4 linked regions of the Ovis aries genome follow. The protein of the gene in region 3 interacts with the protein of the main gene of each other region in a pairwise test. Links are inferred from orthologs where the notes say so. Each region holds a gene or a part of one and is shown on either strand. Other genes may lie near its edges. The genes, in order: CYTH3, CYTH2, IPCEF1 and CYTH1.

Region 1 (4,789 bases), on a different chromosome or scaffold from region 3:
AGACCCAAGGCTGAGGGCTACAGAGCTGGTGACAGCACAGGTCGCACCTGCAGCCCGGAGCCTCAGCCCCTGGGGCTGTTCTGCTCTCAGAGCTGTTAGCGTCCCCCAAGGTGTCCAGTGCACAGCTGGCTGGTCAGTGCGCCAGACTCCTGCCTACGGTTCTGACCCCATGAAGGGTCCCTGGGTGTCGGTCCCCTAGGGACCCAGGAGGCGGGTGCTGAGGCTTTGTTAGGCTGGGCCTGGGTGCACACCTGTACTTAGTGAGGACACACAGCCCTAGGCCCCTGAACGGCCTACACACACACGCAGGCAGAGAAGCCAGAACTGTGGCCGTGCGTGTGCTAAGTTAGGAACTGGAGGTCCTAGCATGACCTCGCTTGGGGGTTTGTTGTCGTAAGTTAATCTTAAAGGAGACCGTGCTTTCAGGAGGCCAGGGTGCCCCGCCAGAGCAGAGCCTGGTGATGAGCTTCATGATGGTCCTGTAAATACCGTGTAGTCACTGTGTTTTGAGAGTGAGTCAGATGTGTTAACACAAGAGTTTGGTTGGCACAGAGCTGGCGTGGAGAACAGGCTTGCGTGGTATGCACGAGAGCCCGTGTCTGCTAACAACTATGCAGGCAGCAGGCGTTTACAAAGAGAAAAGGGCTGATTCTATCCATACTAGTCAGGAGCAGCCAGGCTCCTTCCTGCAGGGGTGTGTGTGTCTGTGTGTGTGTCTGTGTGTGTGTCTGTGTGTCTCCTTGTCCTGAAGCCCAGTCACAAACACATGCTTGGGCAGAGCTGGTCCATCTCCTGCAGCAAAACCTGCTGGAGCTCAGAGACCAAGAGTGTCACCGCCGCCACCCTGTAAGGGGGCTTGGGGCTGGGCCAGGCTCAGGGGTCCACCTGACCACACACCTCTGTCTCAATGCCCACTGCCCCTGGCCCAAGAGGCTCCCCTGGTCTCAAGACCTGGACCAGGGGTTGGGTTCCTCCAGACGTGCCACTGAAGTTGGGTGTAGCAGGGCAGGAGTCTAGGTGCAGAAGAGTCTCGAGGCCTTCCAAGAGAACAGAGATCCCTGCCCATGGTTCGAGACACACCTTGAGGGGGTGGAGGCCTTGGGGGTTGGAGGCATGAAGGGGCCTCAGGGTCTGAGGGCCCCCAAGGACAGTGGAATTTGGACAGATGCTTCTGACGGGGATGGAAAGTGAGATTAGGGGAGCAGGGGAATCTGGGGACCCTCTTCACGGCATAACTGAGGCTGCCGCCCCACACACCTGCCCTGCCTGCCCAGCCAGCCTGTGGCCATCATGAGGACAGACATCTCATCAGTGACCCAAGGGTGAGGGTCCCAGTCTCTGAGGACCCCTCAGTGGCACTGAAACCACAGACGGGGCTCCCTCCCTGCAGCTGGGTGTCTGCGTGTGTCTCTTCCCCCCATATCTCCCCAAATGTCAGGCCTTGTGCCTCAATTTCTGGATAGCCTTCATGTCCCCCCATGTCCCTGTCTGGGCTCCTCAGTTTCAGGGACCAGGTCCGTGACCCTCAGCCACAAGGGTCTCCCCTGTCTGCACCAGGGAGCCAGGGGGCGGGGCAGCTGCTGCTTACCTCATGCTGGTGGGTCGCAGACATCTGTCACCAGGCGCACGTTCTCTCTTTCAACTTTTGTTTTTAAACGTCATGTCGGAAGCAGAGACTAGAAATAGAAAAGGAAGCCAGTTGGTTTCTACTGAATATTTGAGAGTGAAAGATTTCTTTTCTGTAGTTTGAGGAGAGTGGGTGCAGATGAGCTGTGTGTGTGCATGTGTGTCCCAGATCTTGTTATGAGATTAATTCAATCTAATAATTCCCTGGGCCAAGGCCATAATCGATTTTGATGGATCCCAGGGCTGCCCCAGGTCCTCAGTAATGCGATGACGGTCCTGACGTAACGGGATTAAGTCCTGGACAGACCGGCAGCGGCGCTGACTTCATCCTGTTGTCATTTCCATGTGGGGAAATTAAGACCATTCATCACGACTAACTCTTCCAGGAAGCAGACTTGGGAAACGCTCGGGTCATCTGGGTGCCCTGCAGGCGGGCGGGGGTGCATGCGGGCCCCAGCAGCCACGGGCAGGCCAGGCCGCACACCATGGCCAGGATCTGGGGCAGAATGTGAAACGTTTTCACGAAGGACGAAGTGTAAAAGCCAGCTCGGCCCCAGTGGCATTTCTGAAAAGCACAGTAGCTCGTGTAGGGCTTGCTCTGCCCAGACTCACAGGGTCCCTCTGCTCTTAGGGGGGCGCGTGAAGACCTGGAAGCGGCGCTGGTTCATCCTCACCGACAACTGCCTCTATTACTTTGAATACACGACGGTAAGCGCAGGGCTGCGGGTCCTCCAGGTCGCGGGACCCTCGGCGGGTGCGGGGGAGGCTGGCTGAGCGCTTTGTCCCGCAGGATAAGGAGCCCCGGGGAATCATCCCGCTGGAGAACCTGAGCATCAGGGAGGTGGAGGACCCGCGGAAACCCGTAAGCTGGCTTCCCCGCCGCCCGCCCTTCCCTCCCGCTCCCCCAGCACCAGGTGACAGTCGTGTCTGTCTCCACCAGAACTGTTTCGAGCTGTACAACCCCAGCCACAAAGGGCAGGTCATCAAAGCCTGTAAGACAGAGGCGGACGGCCGGGTAGTGGAGGGCAACCACGTGGTGTACCGCATCTCGGCGCCCAGCCCGGAGGAGAAGGAGGAGTGGATGAAGTCCATCAGGTGCGCCCGGGCCCGCCGGGCGGGGCCTGTGCTGTGGGCGTGTCAGGGGCGGGGCCTGTGCGCTAGGTAGGCCGGGAGGGTCGGGCTCTCGTCTGGTCGGGGCGGGTGAGGCCCGAGCTGGGGCTGTCAGAGGGGCGGGGCTGTTGTCGAGCGCGAGTGGCGCTCTTGATGGGGCCTTGTGTGTAGGACTGCCCCGCCCATCCTAACCCAGTTTTTTTTACCCTCTCCCAGAGCGAGTATCAGCAGGGATCCTTTCTATGACATGTTGGCCACGAGGAAAAGGAGGATTGCCAATAAGAAATAGAGCTTTCCTGGTCTGAGCAGCAGGTAAAAGTAAACTGAAACCCCACAGCAGAGTGACTGGGGGGCCCTCCACGACCCCCTGGACCACCCCGACGGCCTGCCCTGTCTCCTCCGGGACAGCAGCCCCTGCTGATCTCAAGAGGCCTCACGTCACCCCTTCCCGCCGCCGCCCTCCCAGCTCCGGGTACATCCTTCTCGAAGCCCCGGCCTGCAGCTGCGCCTGGTGGTCCAGCCTTGAATATCCGCGGGGCAGACTAGGGGCCACACGTGCTCCTTGGTGGCAGTGGCTGTGTTGGCCGTTCTGGAAGCCACTGTTTTGTGTCATAACAGGAAAGGAAAAGCTACCACTTTTTTATTGAGTTTTTTTCTCAGATATATAGGATTATAGCTTTTATACGCCTTTTTATATTCTGAAATTATAATGAAAGATACTTTCTAACAGTAGTATTTTTAGAATGGCAGCTATAAATTTAACTTCTGGACACACGTATATACTGTGCACTGAGAACAAGTTACATACACACATATGCAGCAACTGGGGAGTGGGTGCCGTGCTCAAGGGGAACCCGAGGGCGCCCCCTGGTGGAGGGAGACGCCCGCGTCCTTGAAGACGCGCGCTGGGCAGGGTGGCTCCAGGGGTCCCGTCTTCTGAGTCACCCAGCTCCGTCTTCGTGGCCCCGCAGATAACTTTTACAAAGACACAAATCATTAAATTTTGGTTTGGGGTGTTTATCCTGTAACTGCTGAATCCCAGGACGGACAGTGTATGTATTGAACCACATGAAACTGCTCATATTTGACCCCTTTCTGATACCCACAAACAGCAGTGTCACGTGGTCCAACCGAACACATGGTTCAGGCCAGCTGTGACCCCTGTCTTCACTACTTAAGGCCTGTTGGCCAAACGAATGCTTATAATGATCAGATATATTAATGTAATGTGTAGACATATAAGGAACTAGAGACAATCTTGCTCCGTGTTTTGAGAGATTTGATATATTATAGGAAGGGAAAGAGCAGGCTGGGGGATGAAGGTGTATAGCACTTACGCTTTTCTGTAAATAGTTTAAAACCCCAAATATGCACTGGTGGTTGGACTGGCGAAGATCCCTGACCAGGAGGTTGCCAGGTGCCGCTGGCTGAGGGAGAGGTGCTCAAGCGTGCAGTGAGGAGCTGGGCCCATCACGCCACAGAGATGGCCCAGGGGTGCACAGGTGGGACATTCAGGGCCGGGCCAGTGACATGCCTCTTGTTGTAAGTTTCATTTCCACCACCAGAACCCCCGCACATTATATGTAGGACCCCCTCGCCCACATGGGCTGTTTCAGTGGAGGGTCCCTTCCCTGGGGGACCTTACCCTGCCCCACTGCGAAGGCACCCACCTTGTTCAGTTTGTACACCTGAGAGGTCATCACCTCTCCTGTGCAAAGGCCAAGTTCAAGAAAGACCACCTCAGCCTATGCATAGAGAGGTAAAACAGAGAAAATGTTTCCTGGGAGTTGCCTCGATGCTGAGACGGAACGGCTGTGGGCTCTCAGCCTCGTGCAGCTTACAGTCATGCTAACTGCATGGGGGCCACGCCCAGGACCCTCCACCAGGCATCAAACTGACTTTTTTGGTTCATTCCCAAGCATTTAGGCTTTGCTACCGTACCGATACCTCAGATTCAAACCTCTAGTTCTGAGAAAGGCAAGTCAGCATTCTTGAAATGCCTGACTGCATATATGCAACTCTGGCCCCAGTCGTCTGTGAAAAGACGCTGCCC
Region 2 (5,386 bases), on a different chromosome or scaffold from region 3:
AGAAGGAGTCAGTGCCAAGGAGGACATGTTCCCACCTCTGTGTGCCAGGATTGAGGGCAGGCACTGTCATTGCCCATCAGCCTGTCCCGGTGCTGCGTCAACCCACTTGCCCCCTTCCTGTTTCCCCACCTCCCTTTATCCTGCAGAATCTCCAGATAATAACCGGATGGGATTAATTAGCTGGCTGCTCCCCCACCTCTGGGTGGCTGGAGTAGGCAGCAGGACAATGGAAACCTAAGCATGAAGAAGGGTGTTAAATTGGAGATGAAGGGACAGGAAAAGGGTTCTGTTTGGAAGGGGAGCGAGTGGGGTCAGGACTGGCACAACCTGAGCTTCTGGTAGGGAGGGCAGAGCCTGAGCCACTCATAAAGGTCACTGAGGGGATTAGGAGGCTTCGTGTCTAATCTGTCAGCTTAACCAGGTCCTGGCCTGGAATCTGTCCCTGCCTGCCGAACTCTGGGACGATGAGTGAGGCCCAGGCCCAGACACGACCCTCAGACCCAATTTGGGACCTGTCCGTGATGGGGGTGCCCAGTTTCTCCCTCCAAGCCAGGCCCCTGCACCTGTTTTGCCTTCAAGGAATGGAAATGAGAGGCGGGGGAGGGGAAATGGCCTCAGATGCCAGAGGAGTCGGAGAAGAGGGAGGAGTTTAAGAAGAGCAAGAGTATGAGAGGAGGGGGACGCGAAATGAGACAGAGAGGAGGGAAAGGGCTCGGAGAAGGGAGAAGGGATCAGAGGTGGAAGGATGCTGAGGAAAGGGGAACTGTCCTGGGCACGGAAAGGATGCTAACCTAAAGGAGGAGTTTGGGGGAGAGAGGGAGGAAACTGAGAGGCTTCGAGAGGCAGGAAGGCAGAGCCTGTCCTTTCACTGGATTTGGCCTTCCTCTATAGTCCCATTCTCCTCTACAGAGACCATAAAGCGCAGCATTTGGAAGAAAGTCTTTTTTTTCACCACTCCTTGACTCTGAAGAGGCTGAGGTGGATGGGGGAGGTCAAAGGAGGAGGGTAAGGAAAGGGTCTGCAGATCGGAGAGGCCAGTACATTTGAGAAAGGGGGCCAAAAGGAAAGTGAGCCAAAGCGGCTCCCGGTTGCTTGGCAACCACTGCGGTCAAAAGCCAGGCGGGCCAGCTAGGAGGTGTGGCTCAAGGAAACAGCAGGGAGCTGTGGCCCCGCCCCCTAGCAACAAGCCTAACAAAGTACCGCCCCCTAGCGACGTATTGCTATAGGCCCGGCTCGATTGACCTGGTATCCTATTGAGCAGAGCCCTTGCGCAGGCGTAGTCCTCCCTCTGCGTCTGCTTAGTCCCGCCTCCATGCATCTCCTTTTCGAGGCTTCTCATTGGAGGGGAAGCCTGCCAAGAACCCTTTGGTTTCGGAGGCGGGGCCCGGCCCCTGCTCTCACTCCAATTGGCCCCACAGACCGTCTACTTTGGGCTGAACGTTGCTACGCCTGCTCCTAGTGCGCCTATTGGCCCTGGAGGGCGATCCTTCGGTTTCGGAGGCGGAACAGAAGAGAGGGCACGCCGTGGATTGGGCGGTGTCAAAACGAGGGGCGGTCCCTACTGGCGGGGCGGTTGGGAGACGAAGGGAGAGTCTTTTCAGCGCTGAGGACTGGCGCTGAGGAGGCGGCGGTGGCTCCCGGGGCGTTTGAGCGGGCTCACCCGAGCCCGCGGGCCAACGCGGATCCGGGCCCGACCGGCGGGACCGCCCCGGACTCCCCGCGGGCCTTCCTAGCCGCCATGGAGGACGGTGTCTATGGTAAGTCGGGGAGGGGCGGGGCCGGCTGGGAGCAGATGGAGCGTTTCAGCCCGAACGTTCCGCCGCGAACGACCTCCCCCACCACGACGCGCGCCTTGAGAAGCTTGTTCGGCCCTGTTGTCGCCTCGCTTTTGTGGGGCGCGGGACGGGCTTCCGGCAGGGCAGGAGAGCGGGGCGTTCCAGGCCATTGTTTGGGCCGAGCCTGTTTCCGGTGGCAGCGGGAGGGGGTGGGATGGAGCGGCGGAGGCGAGGCTGAGGCGGAACCATTCCCTCTGGAGGGGCCGGGCGAGCCCAGTGCCTGCCGGGAGAGGGGAGGGGGGCTTCTGGGGACGGTGGGGTGGGGAGAAATCGTGTGGGCCAGAGATTCCGCTAGGGCCAGGGCGGGGGCCTTCGATGCCCCACCCCTTCCTTCACTCTCGCAAGCTGTCATTAGCTTCCCCTGCCATGGTTACTTTCCATGGACCCAGGAGTCCGGGCACCCAGGTCCCCAGCTACCTCGCCGAGAATGGAGGCAGAAAACCAAGGCCTCAGGCCCCTTGCAAGTAATGAACCGCAGTGTCAAGCTTCCAGGCCCCTTTCCCCTGTAAACCTTAGAGTAGAGGCTCCAAGCCCCCTTCTCTCCCAAGGACTAAGAGTCTAGATTCCCAGCCCTTCCTCCCCTGGACTGACCCCCAGCCCCTTCTTCCACTGACCGGAGGCGGGACTCTTATCCTCATCCTCCCCATGAACCTAGGAGCTCTGTCCTTCACCAGATTTCAGAAGTCCAGGCTCCCAGTCCCCAGAACTGATCTCCCACCCCTGATTCCCTCCCCCAGAACCCCCGGACCTGACTCCGGAGGAGCGGATGGAGCTGGAGAACATTCGACGGCGGAAGCAGGAGCTGCTGGTGGAGATCCAGCGCCTGCGGGAGGAGCTCAGCGAAGCCATGAGCGAGGTGGAGGGTCTGGAGGCCAATGAGGGCAGGTGAGGGCTAGGGCAGGGAGCCTAGGGGTCATGGGGCCAGGCGAGGGCCAAGGATGCCCAGGCATTGACCTTGCACCCTCTGCTCTCTGCCCCTGCAGCAAAACCTTGCAACGGAACCGGAAGATGGCAATGGGCAGGAAGAAGTTCAATATGGACCCCAAAAAGGTGCTTGGGGCCACAGGGCTGGGATCGGCCAAGCTGACATCCAGATAGGATTCTGGCATCTCCGGGTTCCAGAAGTGTGGTGGTTAAAGGTCTGTCTTAGGTGGACAGAATTGGTCCTGATCACTGGATCCAGATATTGGCAGTATTTGTTCCCTGAACACTAACCAAGTGCTTCAGCCTCCTGATCTTTGTGTATGCTGGAACTTCTACCTGAGTGGTCCTCCTCTCCTTTTTGCTCATATTTTAGGACCCATTTCTCTTGCCACTCTTGAGTCCCCAGGAGGAGCTTGATTGAGTCTGGTAGGGAATGTGGACAGAGAAGTGCCATGACAGAGAGAAAGAGAGGTACTGGACTGTGGACACAGAGGAGTGAGCCTGGTGGCATCAAGGAGGGCTTCCCTCAGGAGGACATTTGGGTCAGGCGAAGGATGACTGAGTGTTCACCCAGTGGAGAAAAGATGTTCGTTCATTCATTCATTCATTTTACACCATTTCCTCAGGCCTCCCTCTGGGCTGCGGCTCTGCTAGGTACTGCATAGGACCCAGTGTAGGGTTTGATGCTGCCTTGCCCTCAGGGAGCCCCTAGACGCAGATACTAAAATCCAGAGAGAGGGGTCCTCAGTTCATCGTCCTCAAGACATCAGGAGAGCCTGAGAAAGACCTCCAGCCTGAGCCCTCACAGCTCCTCATGAACTGATGTCTTCTAACAGTTTCCCACTTTATTCTTCTTGCCAGAAGCAGTGGTAGTTTGTAAAGTCATTCAGCAGACATTCATGAAGCTCCTGTTCTTGCCAGGTCCTGCTCCGGGGGGACTGGAATTCACCAGGCAAAGGCAGAGGCAGCAGTAGATGCAAAGTCTAGGCTGCGGGAGAGGCGGTGTTTAGGGGCCTGGGAAGAGCCTGAAAATGAAACTCAGGCCCCGCTCTGTTGAGAATGGGGGTGGGTTTGGAGGCTAAGGTTTCTAGGGGTGTCTTTCTGAGCATGCCAGCACTGAGACCCAGCCCTTCCCACCAGGGGATCCAGTTCCTGGTGGAGAATGAACTTTTGCAGAACACACCTGAGGAGATCGCCCGCTTCCTGTACAAGGGCGAGGGCCTGAACAAGACGGCCATTGGGGACTACCTGGGGGAGAGGTGAGAATCGCACTCCCTGCACCCAGCTCCTGCTGGGCATCTCCTCTCTGCCCCTTGCACCCAGCTTTTGTTGAGGAGAGGCCCTGATAGATGAGCCTTGCAACTGGACTGTGACAAAATGGACTGACACAGAGATTGGGGTGGGGGACCTTTTGAGGAACCTGGGGATCATCTGTGAGCATGTGGAGGGTATGGGACATTTGAGGACATCTGAGCAATGCGGGGACCATCACCCATTTATGTCAGGACAGTGGAGAACATTTGTGGGTGGTATGGGAGCGTGAGAACCATTGGAGACAGCTGGTGTGCATGGGAGCGACGTGGACAGTGATGCAGGAAGTGGGAGGGGTCAGTCAGTGGATATCTGGGGAGCATGAGGGGCCCATGGACATCTGGAAACATGGGGGCCATTTGTGGATGTCCGGGGTCTGTGGACCACCTCCAAGCATAGAGTGCATGAGACGTCGGGAGTGTATGAGGACCAGCAGTGGATGTCTAGGGTGCCTGGGAGTTTGTGGACTTCTGGGACACATGCGGACGACCTTTGGATGTTGGGGGTGTGTGGGGACTATCTGGACTCCAGGGTGCTTGGGACCTTCTGTGAAGTCTGGGAAACCTGGGGACCATCGGTGCACATCCGGGACATGTGGAGGCCGTCTGAAATGTCTGAGGTGCACAGGACTGTGAGATGCCCAGGGTTTGTGTGGACATCTGGGTTCTGTGGAACCTTCTGGATATCTGTGGCGCAGAGACCGTCTGGGGACAGCTGGAGGGCATGGGGACTGGAGAGTCTGGGAGCATGGGCGTCATTTCTAGCTGTCTGGGGATCGCTTGTGACATCTGGGGTGCATAGGGACAGTCCGGTTGTCTGACATTGTGGGGCTGGTTTTGTGGGCATCTGGGTTGCCCTGGGACTCTCCGTGGGTCTCTAGGGGATAGGAGGCCATCTCTGGGCATCTATGAAATCTGGGGTTCATCAGAGATGACCAGCAGAGCACATTTGCTGTGTTTCTCCCAACTGCACAGAGTTCCAGCCACACCAGAGTTCTTAAGGCAGATGGTCTTCCCAGGAGCGTTCTAAGTGTCCCTACCCCTGTGCCAGGCTGGTGATGGGGGCTTGGCCAAAACTTTCACTGGCTACAGAGGTAGCCACTGTGCAGAAGAGGGGCCACAGCCTCCTCAGTACTTCGCCTCCTCTCTACCCCCACTTGCCCAAGCCCCTTCCTGCCCGTGACCTTGTCCCTATCCTCCCAGGGAAGAGCTGAATCTGGCAGTGCTTCATGCCTTCGTGGATCTGCACGAGTTCACTGACCTCAACCTGGTGCAGGCCCTCAGGTGAGGAGGATGGGATTGAAAAGGCAGGAAGGG
Region 3 (5,577 bases):
TTGATTTCTTTGCAGTCCAAGGGACTCTCAAGAGTCTTCTCCAACACCACAGTTCAAAAGCTTCTGTTCTTCAGTGCTCAGCTTTCTTTATAGTCTAACTCTCACATCCATACATGACCACTGGAAAAACCATAGCTTTGACTAGATGGACTTTTGTTGGCAAAGTAATGTCTCTGCTTTTTAATATGCTGTCTTGGTTTGTCATAGCTTTTCTTCCAAGGAGCAAGTGTCTTTTAATTTCATGGCTGGAGTCACTGTCCACAGTGATCTTGGAGCCCAAGAAAATAAAGTCTGTCACTCTTTCCATTGTTTCCCCATCCGTTTGCCACCCCCAAAGAAAAGATTGGCAGTTTTATGGCCCCTGAGGTGCATGTAGGTATGTGGGAGGAGGGCCAGGAATAGACTGGCCCTAACTGAGTAATGGGGATTTCCCTACCCCCCTTCATAATGAGGCCTCTAGCAGAGGCCCCAGAAGAGAACCCTGCCCCCAGGCCTCAGGTAAAATGACTCTGGAATGTAAATATGCCACAGAGCAGGACTGACAGGGAGCCTGGGACCTTGACCACCACTCCCCTCAGATGCTGTGGGGTCCTGCTGTCACCAAGTCTGGTGCGGGGAAGGCAGTATCCCTGTGAAGCCTTCCAGGGAGAGCCTTCATAATTGCCTGTGATCAGGTCTAAAAGGTGACACATGGGGATTTAAGAGGAGCTGGACTCCTCATTCTCATCCTCCTTCACTCTCACTTATTTGCTCTGATGAGGCCAGCCACCATGTCCTGAACCGACTGAAGGGAGACCCACGGGGTAACAGCTGGCACTGAATCGAGATCATCAATCCTATTGCCCTTGAGAAACTGAATCGTACCAACAATCACGTGGGTGAGTTTGGAGGCGTTTCTTTTCCTTGAGATGATTACAGTCTCTGCTGACTCCTTGGCTGTAACCTTGTGGAGACTCCAGCTAAGCTGGGTCCAGATTCCCGGCACTCAGAAACTAAGACGTAATAGGTGTCTGTTGTTTTCAGCCTCTAAGTGCTGGGGTCGTCCGTTACACAGCGATAGATAACTAATATATGTGCTAAGGATCTAGTGACCACATTTTGGGAAACTGCATGGTCGTGAGCCTGTTTCAAATGACTTGATTCCTTTTCATTGAAAGTGGGCCATAAGTACAGTGACATTATGTTCTTTCCTCAAGAAGGTTTAAGGAGACAAGATGCTGGTATTGAAAACGAGAAGTCTGAGGGCAGGCATTTATTGATGGTGAGTTCCGGTCTCCCTAATTTTCCCCTGTCATTTGCCTTTTCGAGCATGTGAAATGAAAGTTTTAAAGTTAGAGAATCTATTAATTATGCTGTAGGAGAAAGGCAGGCTGACTTATTTTTAACATAAGATACTTTCTGCACATTTTTCTGTGTCATCTATTTAGGAGTAATCCGAACACTAGGAGGTGAGAAAGAAGGGAAATGCAAGAGAACATTGAGCCTAAGAGAGGCTGATGATAAAAATGTGGATTTCAACTAAACCCACCAGGAACAGCTCTGCAAATGACCTCACCCCACCCCACCCCACCCTCGCCTGCAAATAAACATCTTTGCCTCCAAAATGAGAATGCAAAACGATGTACTGTTTCCCACGTGCGTCCTGGAAATGAACATACTGAATAGTGTTTAGTGATCAATGGAGTCTGACAGAGGGGACGTAACTAATTTACATGAATTGTGTTGTGTGTTTTGGAATCAAGGAAGGCTTATTAACAATAAGAAGGAAGAACAATGAGATTGGGGAAGTAGAGATGACACTTCCTCTTCTTTTGAAAGAGCTCTTTTCTCTGGCCAGCTTCTAATGGTCGTCCTGTGGAGCTGCCTGAACTGTGGCTGCATATGGAGGAATCCTCAACCTTGACCTCAGGGTATTATGAATTTTCTGAAATCAGGCATAAAGAGCTGGTGCTTGGATTTGCTCTCTTTTTATTGCATGTAAGTAAAACCACTCCTTGGCTGACGTATAAAGTCATTGCTTGACATCTCAAGATGGTGAAGCAATGGATATTCTGGCACTCTCTTTAAAATAGTGAGCTGTGAGTAAGATGTGACTCTTGGGATATCATGTTTGCTCAGCTCTTCATAAACTTGCTGTTGGGAAGTCCAGTACTACAGACACTGTTAGAGTTTTGAAGGAGAGAACCGTGAACTCTCCTTTCTTCTATTTCTATAGTAGATGTTGTATTGATAACTGCTGGGACTGCAGACCATGATTTAGAAAAACTCAGTTCCTCAAGTGTGTGGGTCCTGAGGAATTCATCTGGGAAAACACTCTGGGGCCAGCCTCTTTTGAGAAGGTGTGTTCTTTGTAGAGAATCCTCCTTTGTATGCAGACTGCTGGAGGGGATTTTACTTTTAGATAAAAAGACAGGCTTGATAAGATATCTCTGTATGAAATGGGAACTTTGGTAATGTTGGTTCAGAGGTTTTTACCCAGGACGTCTAGAACATTTGGTTTTCTTTGCTTGTGAATATGTGAAAGAAACTTAATTGTAAGAGACAGGATTATAAGTCACTAAGGCATTACTGACTGTAGTAGTGGAATTTATTAGTATGTAGGGGCCTGTGTGTTCTTAGGCGTCGTATAGTCATACACAGACTCGGATTCCTCTACAGCTAATTAAAATTTGACTTGGAAATAGAAACAGAAAGAACATAGGTTTCCTTCTGCGCACATCATGCAAGTGAGAAGAAAAAGGACTTCAGTTTGTATATTTGTTGGTATACTTATTCTTTATTTTTAAACGTCCCTCTCCTCTCTTTATTTCTCAAGTATCTTCTCTGAAGACAGTCCATGTGTGAACTCTTATAGGCAAGTTGCATTAAGCAGTATGGAAATAGGAAGTTCTTTCCTGTGGTGGCTTGCTGTGGCAATAAGTGATAAAAAGTTACTTCATGACTATTGCCTGAGACTTTCCTTTTTACTCGCGTATCCTTTTTGAGCAGTTCACTTCTGCTTTCCATCTGCTGTGGAGGCCAGGCAGAATGAGTTGGGAACTCAAGCAAGTTTAATGGGGTAAATGCTGTGTGAGAGTGAAGAAAATTCTATAAGCTCTTTGAGATTGAAGAAAATCCTACAAAGGGAAAAATTACTGAATTCTTCAGTGCTCAGAACAGTGCCTGTCCCATACTAAGCTCTCAGTCAGTGTTTGTGCAATGGATGAATGATTGAATGGGATTGTTCATAAAATGAGTGTAGTCTGGCAGTGTTTGCCTTATCTCTATGACTCAGGCACATAAGGAAGTCTAGGTTGGAAAAGGTCAGAGTGAAGCAGGAGAGGAGAATGTGAAGGTGGGAAGAGAAGAAAGGGTATATAGAAAAGAGATGATAAGGAACCTTAAGAGTGGCATTATGGTGGCCTGTGTGGAGGTGCAGGGGGCATGGAAGTGGTGGTGGTGAAGGTGGTGGTGACGTAGAGTCTGAGCTGCTGGTAGAGATGATGGTCGAGGTAGTGGTAGAGCAGTGATGATGAAGGTGATGCGGAGGTGGTGGTGGAGCTGATGATGGAAATGTGTGCTGAAAATGATGATGATGGAAGTGGTGGAGATGCTGGAGGTGGTGGTGGAGATGCTGGAGGTGGTGGAGATGCTGGAGGTGGTGGTGGAGATGCTGGAGGTGGTGGAGATGCTGGAGGTGGTGGAGATGCTGGAGGTGGTGGAGATGCTGGAGGTGGTGGTGGAGATGCTGGAGGTGGTGGTGGAGATGCTGGAGGTGGTGGTAGAGATCCTGGAGGTGGTGGAGATGCTGGAGGTGGTGGTGGAGATCCTGGAGGTGGTGATGGAGATGCTGGAGGTGGTGGTGGAGATGCTGGAGGTGGTGGTGGAGGGATGATGGAGGACATGATAGAGCTGATGATGGAGATAGTGTTGAAAGTGGTGATAATGGAGAGAGGTGTTGGTGAAGGTGATGGTAAAGATCCATAGATGTGATGGTAGAGATGATAGTGGTGGTGATGGAGGTGGCGGTGGAAGAAGTCGTGAAGTGGAGGTGATGATGGGAGGTAGTGTGATGTAGTCGGGAAACAGTTTGGGGATTAGACACAGCTGTTCAAAGTCTGTATCCACCACTTACTAGCTCTATGACCTCTGAACCTTCAAAGTGATGATTATAATAAAATGAGCTTTTTCTGCTGTCATGTAAGGATCAGAAATGCAGTGGCATAGTGCCTGCCATCTCATAGATCTTTACCAAATGGCAGTTGACAACATATTTCCTTCAGTTTTTAAAACTCTATGGTCACACTTACAAAGTTAATCACCAATTTATCTTTTCTTTATTTTTTGCTGTTTTCTAAATTTCACAAAATAAGCATGATTCATGAATTATTGATTAAAAATAAATGTTATATGCCTAGTTTTCAAGATTGTTAAATACATGATAGTGTATTAAAAAGACCATCAATATAATGATGTTTATGAAATATTGTGATATACTAAGATTAAATTAATAAAAAGAAGAAACAACTTTCAGCTAAGTAAAACACTGCAGAGAAACAAGACTGAGGTACATATGTTAATACATTAACATATAATTAATTTGGTTTATGGGCTTCCCGCATAGCTCAGTCAGTAAAGAACTTGCCAGCAATGCACTAGACCCAGGTTCGATTCTTGGGTCAGGAAGATCGCCTGGAGAAGGAAATGGCAACCCACTCCAGTATTCTTGCCTGGGGAATCCCATGGTCAGAGAAGCCTGGCAGGCTACAGTCCATGAGGTCACAAGAGTCAGACATACTTAGTGACTACACCACCACCACCAATTTGGTTTATAGCTGATGATAGTTTTATTTGTCTTCAAGCTTTTCTATTTTTTTTTTCAAATTTTTCATTAGTGAAGCATATTGAGACTACCCTAATAATCTGAAAACAAAATAAATGTTAAAACAAAATAAAAGTTAAAAAAATCAACATAATTTTAACTCTTAATCTTCCACTAAGTAGTTTTTAGTTATAGTGTGCTAAACTTTGTGGTTCCTTGCAGTTGAAATGACGTGATTTAGATTATTTAATCTTCATGGGGAATCCCCTTTGAGATTAAGTCTGGTGCAGAATTGTGTGACAGCTCTAAAGTGAGAATAGTGAACCAGATCCCCTCTGGGGCTGACTAGCCTACTTGGTTCCTAGAAACACACGAAAAAAGGCTATTTTCTCTAGATGATTTATAACTGCCTCTGAAGCTGTATTGGGTGACATTCTAGCAAGTTCAACTGTCAGTTGGATAGTTCTAAATTAAGTTTATATCTGCTGTCATAAGAGTAACTAGTTTTTAAGGGAATATTGACTTGTCTTTTTCATCTTGGTATACCTGGGGAGAGATCAGAAAAATATTTTTGTAGAGTAGCAAATATTTCTTCTTAGGGTCTTGGCCATCCCACTCAGTACTGACTGGTCACTGTGGAGGAGGCCCTTATCAGAGACTTAACCAAAATCATTTATTTTGGCTTATAGGCACTGGAACAAGTCTCCTGTCCTTGTGTTAGAAATGATCAAGTGAGAGGTTACTGGCAGACAAAGAGGCAAAAAATGAACAAATGT
Region 4 (5,563 bases), on a different chromosome or scaffold from region 3:
ATAAAAGCTGAGAGGAGTAAGGTCTGTATTTGGGAAGTAAAGGTCTTGAACAGCACATGGGTTCAGGGATCTTAAGAACCTATGCTCAGAAATCCGATTATTTCGTCAGAGTCGTGATATAGAATCATCACCACTAACATTTCCGATGTTACTACTGGATGGACCCTGCCCATCTCTACCTCAAGACCTTTTGTAAGAGAGAGGCAGGCAAACCTCTGGAGCAGCAGTTCCAAGAGTCAGAGCCGTTCGAGAACTGAATTAAAGCAAAGGACTCTCCAAAAATGCACGTTCACAAACTCTCACATACAATCTCAGAGGGGCCTGAAAGCCCATTAAGAAGCAGACTGCGTGTTAAAAATGTCTGCTTGAATTCAGAAGTAACAAAAAGGAATACAGTCACTGAGTCCTTTCGTGGGCAGGGAACGCTATGAAGGTAAAAATACCTCTTCCTTTTACAAGTGAGAACTGTGACATCCAGGAAGTACAGTCATCTAATAAGAACGTAAAATGACCCCCCAAAAATCCCAACTATTTCAGGGTTTAGAAAGAAGGGGGGGCGGGGATAAAGACCAGCCAGCCACAAGCATTAGGAACATCTTTCTTAAAGTGTCAATTAAGCTTTTAGAAAACCACTAATTCCACATTTTTCTTAAAAGAAAAAAAAATGCTTTAAATTGACTTTTGTTTAACCTCCCCCCCACTTCACACAGGTGTTCACAGTCTGGTTTATCACACCACATGTGTAGTTTGAACTATGCTGTATGGATCTAGTGCATTACAACTAGACCAAATAAACAACTCAGGATCACAGGGAGTGAACAAGAGAAAGGGCTGCTGAACTCAGTGGTGTGGTTTCTGGGTCAGCACAGAACATCAAAGAGTATGCAGTTAGGAAAAGCCTTCTGGTGAGTTTTCAAAATTCTCTTTCGTTGAACAGAGAAACTCTAAGACACATTCTCTTTCTTTAGCTTATTATAAATGAGTTATGCTTCAAAGGTTTTATCTAGCAAGGTGATAGCATGGAAATCATAAACCCTGTCCCCAAAGATACAATGTTAAAAAATCATGGTAGTGACCTAGGCTGACTCATGAACCACCAATGGAGGTTCCGAGGGAACCCCCTGGACCTGGCATTCTATGCACTGTTTGAGTCCACAGCACCCACTTTAGTTTGAAAGGTGGAATGTGAATAGTTGTCTTATCTTTTGAGGTAAATTCTCTGTAAAACCTAGGAGAGAAATGGAAAGTTCTGGAGACTGAGGCAAACCTTAAAAAGAACTAGGAACCTTTTTCTTGTTATGATCATCTTGAACCATTAGGTACTTTTTGTGTGGTAAACCCAATGAGTGGGGGAAATCTTTAAATCAACCTTTCTGCTTCCTCCAATATACGAAGAATATGTTTTTTTTTTAATTGTACAAACAGAAAGAAAAGAACAACTTCTTCCTCATCTTTATGTGTGGTCAGCAGAATAATGGGCCCCAGAGATAGCCCTGTCCTAATCCCAGAACCTGGAAACACGCCGCCCCTACGTGGCAAAAAGGGGGTTACCATTGGAGAACTAAGGCTGCTGATCCTTATCCTTATCAGGTGGGTCCAATGGCGTCACAGAGCCCTAACTAGAAGAGGCAGAAGCCAGACAGAACTGAGAAGATGCTACCTGCTGACTCTGAAGGTGGAAGGCAGCCAGCAGCCAAGGAACGGGGGCAGTCTCTAGAAGCTGGAAGAGGCAAGGAAACAGATGTTCCTGTTAGGACCTCCAGAAAGGAACACAGCCCAGTAAACACCTTGATTTTAGCTTAGTGAGACCAAATTTGGACTTCTGACCTCCAGAACTGTAAGATAACAAGTTTATGTTGTTTGTGCCAATCTGTTACAGCCGCCACAGGAAACAAATACACCCTGCTTCCATTCACCCTTTCTGAGCACGAATTCATGCCATGCCTGGTGGCAAAGCAGTCATTGTGTTCAAAGCAACCAGACCAACAGCTTCCTGCCTCGAGCGGTGGGTAAGACCACCAGGAGAGGGCATGAAGAAAGCCTGGATTAAACAGCAAGAGATGGTACAGGAGCACGCAAAGCTGGAGAAGGCTTCTCCTGGGTGGGCAGAAACAGACACCTAAGTGGGGCTGAAAAGTCCTTTGGGATCAATCGTGGGTGTTTTCTCTTTTTTCAATCACAGAGGAAAAGCACACACTGCTTTTACTTGGAAGGTAACCAGGGGACATCTGATGGACACCGATCCCACGTGCTCTGGCCTTTCCCCTGTCTGCCACTGTGGGTCATAAACCCACCTATTGCGGTCAGTGGTTCCTCAATGACTTACTCGTAAACAAACAGAAAAGTAACAAGGTGCTTCACCTTTCACATTTTAACATACCCCACAACAAAGCTTGCTCCCTCAGAGCTTAAGAAACAAACGTCGCCTATGTCACTTAGTCAAGAAAGCGGATTCGCTTCCACTAAGCCACACAAGCATTTCAAACTGCTGTCTGTACTCTGCTTACCAAACCACAAAACTTCACCACTTGTTCTATCTGCCATTCTTTCATCTCTTGGGAATAAAACGTTAAATAAATTAACGAAAGCATTCCACATAGCCTTCTGCCAGCCTGGCAATCTGAAGCCATTTGACAGACGAATGCCCTGCGGATGGCCAACAGTTCCCAGGTGAGGTCAGCAGAAGGAGGCTTTGGAAACGGGTAGTTTTGTCAAGCGTTCGCTGTCGGTGTGGCGTGAGGGCTGTGCCGCGTCTCTGGGCACAGATGAGAAGGCAAAGTTGGGTTTCTCGGCGCCCCTCGGGCTCGCCCCGCAGGCGCTGGGGGAACAGCAGCCCCGTTTCCGCGGAGAGGCGGTCAGCCTCGGACCCTGGGGTGGCCGGCGGCAGGAGATCCCGGCCCCGACGGCACCGTCAGGTGGCAGCCTGTCCACTCGGGGTTCGCTGCCTGTGTTTTCTCATTTTTGTTTCTGAACAAAGACATGGACCAGGGTACATAACTTGCCAGCACCGAAGGGGCCGGAAACTACGGAGAACGGCCGGGGGAACTTGAGCGTTCGCGGGGGAGGCTGGGCCTGCGCGGGACAGCGGCCCGAGACCCCCGCCCGAGACCCGGACCCCGAGACCCTCCTCTGAACCCCGCCCTAGACCCCGGCCTCGAGACAGACCCTCACCCTGGAGGACTTCCGCCTCGGAGACTCAGGCCCCGAGACCCCGGTCCTACGACTGCGGCCCCAGAGACTGGAGCCCGGCGACCCCCAGCGCCGGCCCCCGAGACCCGTGCACCCCGACGTCGGCCCCTCATCACCCCTCAGCCTTTAACACTCGGGGCCCCCGGTGCCCCCTGCCCTGAGGAGGCCCCCGCCCCGCCCGGCTCGCGTCCGGCACCACAGTCCCCGGGAAACGTGAGTCGCCTGAGGCGCGGCCAAGGCGCCGGGCCGGTGAAGGGAGGAAGGGAGGGGGCGTCCGCCGGCCGGACCGAGGGCCGTACTGACCGTAGCTGTCGTCTTCGTCCATGGTGCCGGCGCCAGGCTCCGCGCCTGGGCTCGCCGCTCGCCCCAGGTCCCGCAGCTCCCGGCCCCGTTCGCCCGGCGAGTCTCAGAGCCCCGCCCCCGGCCCCAAGCCCGCCGCCCGCCGCCCGCCCCTCGTCCCCCGCGGGGCGCCCCGCCCGCGGCCTGCGCGCGCGCGCACACACACACACACAGAGCCCAGCACGCGGCCGCCTCCCGACCCGCGCCTGCGCACGCGCGCCCGCCCAGACCCCGCCCCCGGGCCTGCGGCCCCGCCCCCGTCGCCCGCGCGCGCACCCCTGGGGCCGCGTCCTCTACTCTGCCCAGGACTGCGTACGCGCGCCCGCCGAGGCCCCGCCCCTCTGGCTGGCCCCGGGCGCCGAGGCCCCGCCTCTGACCACGCCCCAACCCGAGGCCCCGCCTCGGCCGCCTCCGGGGGCCCAGCAGGTTTCGGATTTCCTAAGGGTGGCGCAGGCCTGGGAAACAGACCAGAGCCCAGCCGCCCACAGAGGTACCAAGGTCGTGTCCGGCCACTCAAGGGCAGGGTGGTCCTCGCTGACGTTAGTTTCACAGGTCCTGCTAGTCCTTGGCCGAATACCAGAATATTTTGAGTTCATTATTTCTGCAGTCTGAACCTTAGCACCGTGAATGTCATGAGTTCATTGCCTTTATATACTTCCTTTTCTTTGTCCTCTGAATGTACCCCGATCAAATTTCAAAGAGAGGCACCTCAGCCTCACAGCATGTCAGGATTTTGGTGACCTTGATTCCTGCGACTGTTGGATTCATACGTTTCTAGGCTGTGCCTTACATGTTTTATTTGCCTGCACTGGGCTGACCGACCAATCCCCACCCACTGGTTAGACTGAGCTGCCCTTTGAGGAGCCTGGGCAGTAGTTCTGCACCTGGAGGTGGGGACATCACCAATTTTTAATTCAGAAAAATAAACGAAAATGCTGCTTTTTTACTTGTTCCTGGATGGATATGCTCTTTCTTGATTTGGTGCTACACATAAAAATTATAAGTGTGTCATTTGGAAGGATCACACAGGGATGGTCCAGGACCCTCCTGGGGGGCATGACCCTGGACCCCCTAGCACAATGTGCTGTACTGGGGGTGCTGCGGGAGAAGAGCTCAGCCCAAGGTCCTGGCAATGCCCCTGAAATGTCAGGGAATATCTCCATCAGGGGGAGTTGTGACCCTTCTCAGCAGTCTGTTTCCTTACAGACCGTTCCAAAACATGCCTCCCGGTAGACAACAAAGGAAAGTCCCTTTCCTCTCATGGAAAAGGAGTAAATGAATGAGGAAACTCTAGGTTTTCTTTCCACATCTGCTTCCTATTAGCTCTGTGATCTGGGCAAATACCTCAGCCCCCTGGACCTGTCTCACACCCGTGAAATGAAGCATCTGCCTATAAAATCCAGGCTCCTGCCCAGTACTGATCTGTGATCTGTTGCTGTCTTCTGCTTGACTTCAGCACAGCTGACAATGTTTTTGTTTGATGAGATGGATTCCAACATTATCAGTCTAAGGGATCCCAATCTTCACATTCCATCAGGGTGCAGCTCTGGCCCACCCTTCTGGTGGCTAGGAAAACTGTGCATTCACAAACAAAAATATCCCTGTTACTCCCTGAGCTGTCGGACCCAGGCTTTGACGGTGAAGCTTGATGTCTCCCGTATGTCCAAGAAGATGGGCTTTATTTCCTTAGGCAAGTGTTTCTTTCCAATAGCTCCAGAAATCAGACACTTCCCTCACAGAGATTATCTTATCCATAGAAGCTTGATTCTGGTGGACCTAAGAGTTTAATCTTCATTGATTTTACATAACTCTTGCTCGATGACCAAAACTTGGGCAGAAAAGCAACTGAGGCCACAGGTTAATTCTCCCTGTGATCTGAACTCCCAAACCTTTGGATGGGAAGGGCATGAATGCTAATCACTTCGATTAGCCTGGTTTTTGACTGTAAACAAATCCCCTTAACTTACATTGTTTCATTACAACAGTGTTTTCCAGTGGCAGGTCCTGACTCTGAATGGTTGAAAAACCAATCTCC

The links.
Region 1: the proteins of IPCEF1 (region 3) and CYTH3 interact in binary tests that used the Homo sapiens proteins (3 or more experiments, as listed by UniProt). The link is inferred for Ovis aries from reciprocal best matches to the Homo sapiens genes IPCEF1 and CYTH3.
Region 2: the proteins of IPCEF1 (region 3) and CYTH2 interact in binary tests that used the Homo sapiens proteins (3 or more experiments, as listed by UniProt). The link is inferred for Ovis aries from reciprocal best matches to the Homo sapiens genes IPCEF1 and CYTH2.
Region 4: the proteins of IPCEF1 (region 3) and CYTH1 interact in binary tests that used the Homo sapiens proteins (3 or more experiments, as listed by UniProt). The link is inferred for Ovis aries from reciprocal best matches to the Homo sapiens genes IPCEF1 and CYTH1.

The regions. Positions count from the first base shown.
Region 1 is NC_056077.1:38,555,823-38,560,611, reverse strand, and holds part of CYTH3 (cytohesin-3), read left to right. Parts: intron 1-2,257; coding exon 2,258-2,334; intron 2,335-2,416; coding exon 2,417-2,488; intron 2,489-2,566; coding exon 2,567-2,721; intron 2,722-2,952; coding exon 2,953-3,025; 3' UTR 3,026-3,048; exon of another isoform or gene 3,049-4,789. UniProt on the Homo sapiens protein: Promotes guanine-nucleotide exchange on ARF1 and ARF6. Promotes the activation of ARF factors through replacement of GDP with GTP. Plays a role in the epithelial polarization.
Region 2 is NC_056067.1:54,896,098-54,901,483, forward strand, and holds the start of CYTH2 (cytohesin-2), read left to right. Parts: upstream 1-1,613; 5' UTR 1,614-1,738; coding exon 1,739-1,757; intron 1,758-2,572; coding exon 2,573-2,720; intron 2,721-2,818; coding exon 2,819-2,885; intron 2,886-3,899; coding exon 3,900-4,018; intron 4,019-5,272; coding exon 5,273-5,353; intron 5,354-5,386. UniProt on the Homo sapiens protein: Acts as a guanine-nucleotide exchange factor (GEF). Promotes guanine-nucleotide exchange on ARF1, ARF3 and ARF6. Activates ARF factors through replacement of GDP with GTP.
Region 3 is NC_056061.1:78,801,406-78,806,982, reverse strand, and holds the start of IPCEF1 (interactor protein for cytohesin exchange factors 1), read left to right. Parts: upstream 1-1,831; 5' UTR 1,832-1,977; intron 1,978-5,577. UniProt on the Homo sapiens protein: Enhances the promotion of guanine-nucleotide exchange by PSCD2 on ARF6 in a concentration-dependent manner.
Region 4 is NC_056064.1:52,903,217-52,908,779, reverse strand, and holds the start of CYTH1 (cytohesin-1), read right to left. Parts: upstream 3,596-5,563; 5' UTR 3,515-3,595; coding exon 3,493-3,514; intron 1-3,492. UniProt on the Homo sapiens protein: Promotes guanine-nucleotide exchange on ARF1, ARF5 and ARF6. Promotes the activation of ARF factors through replacement of GDP with GTP.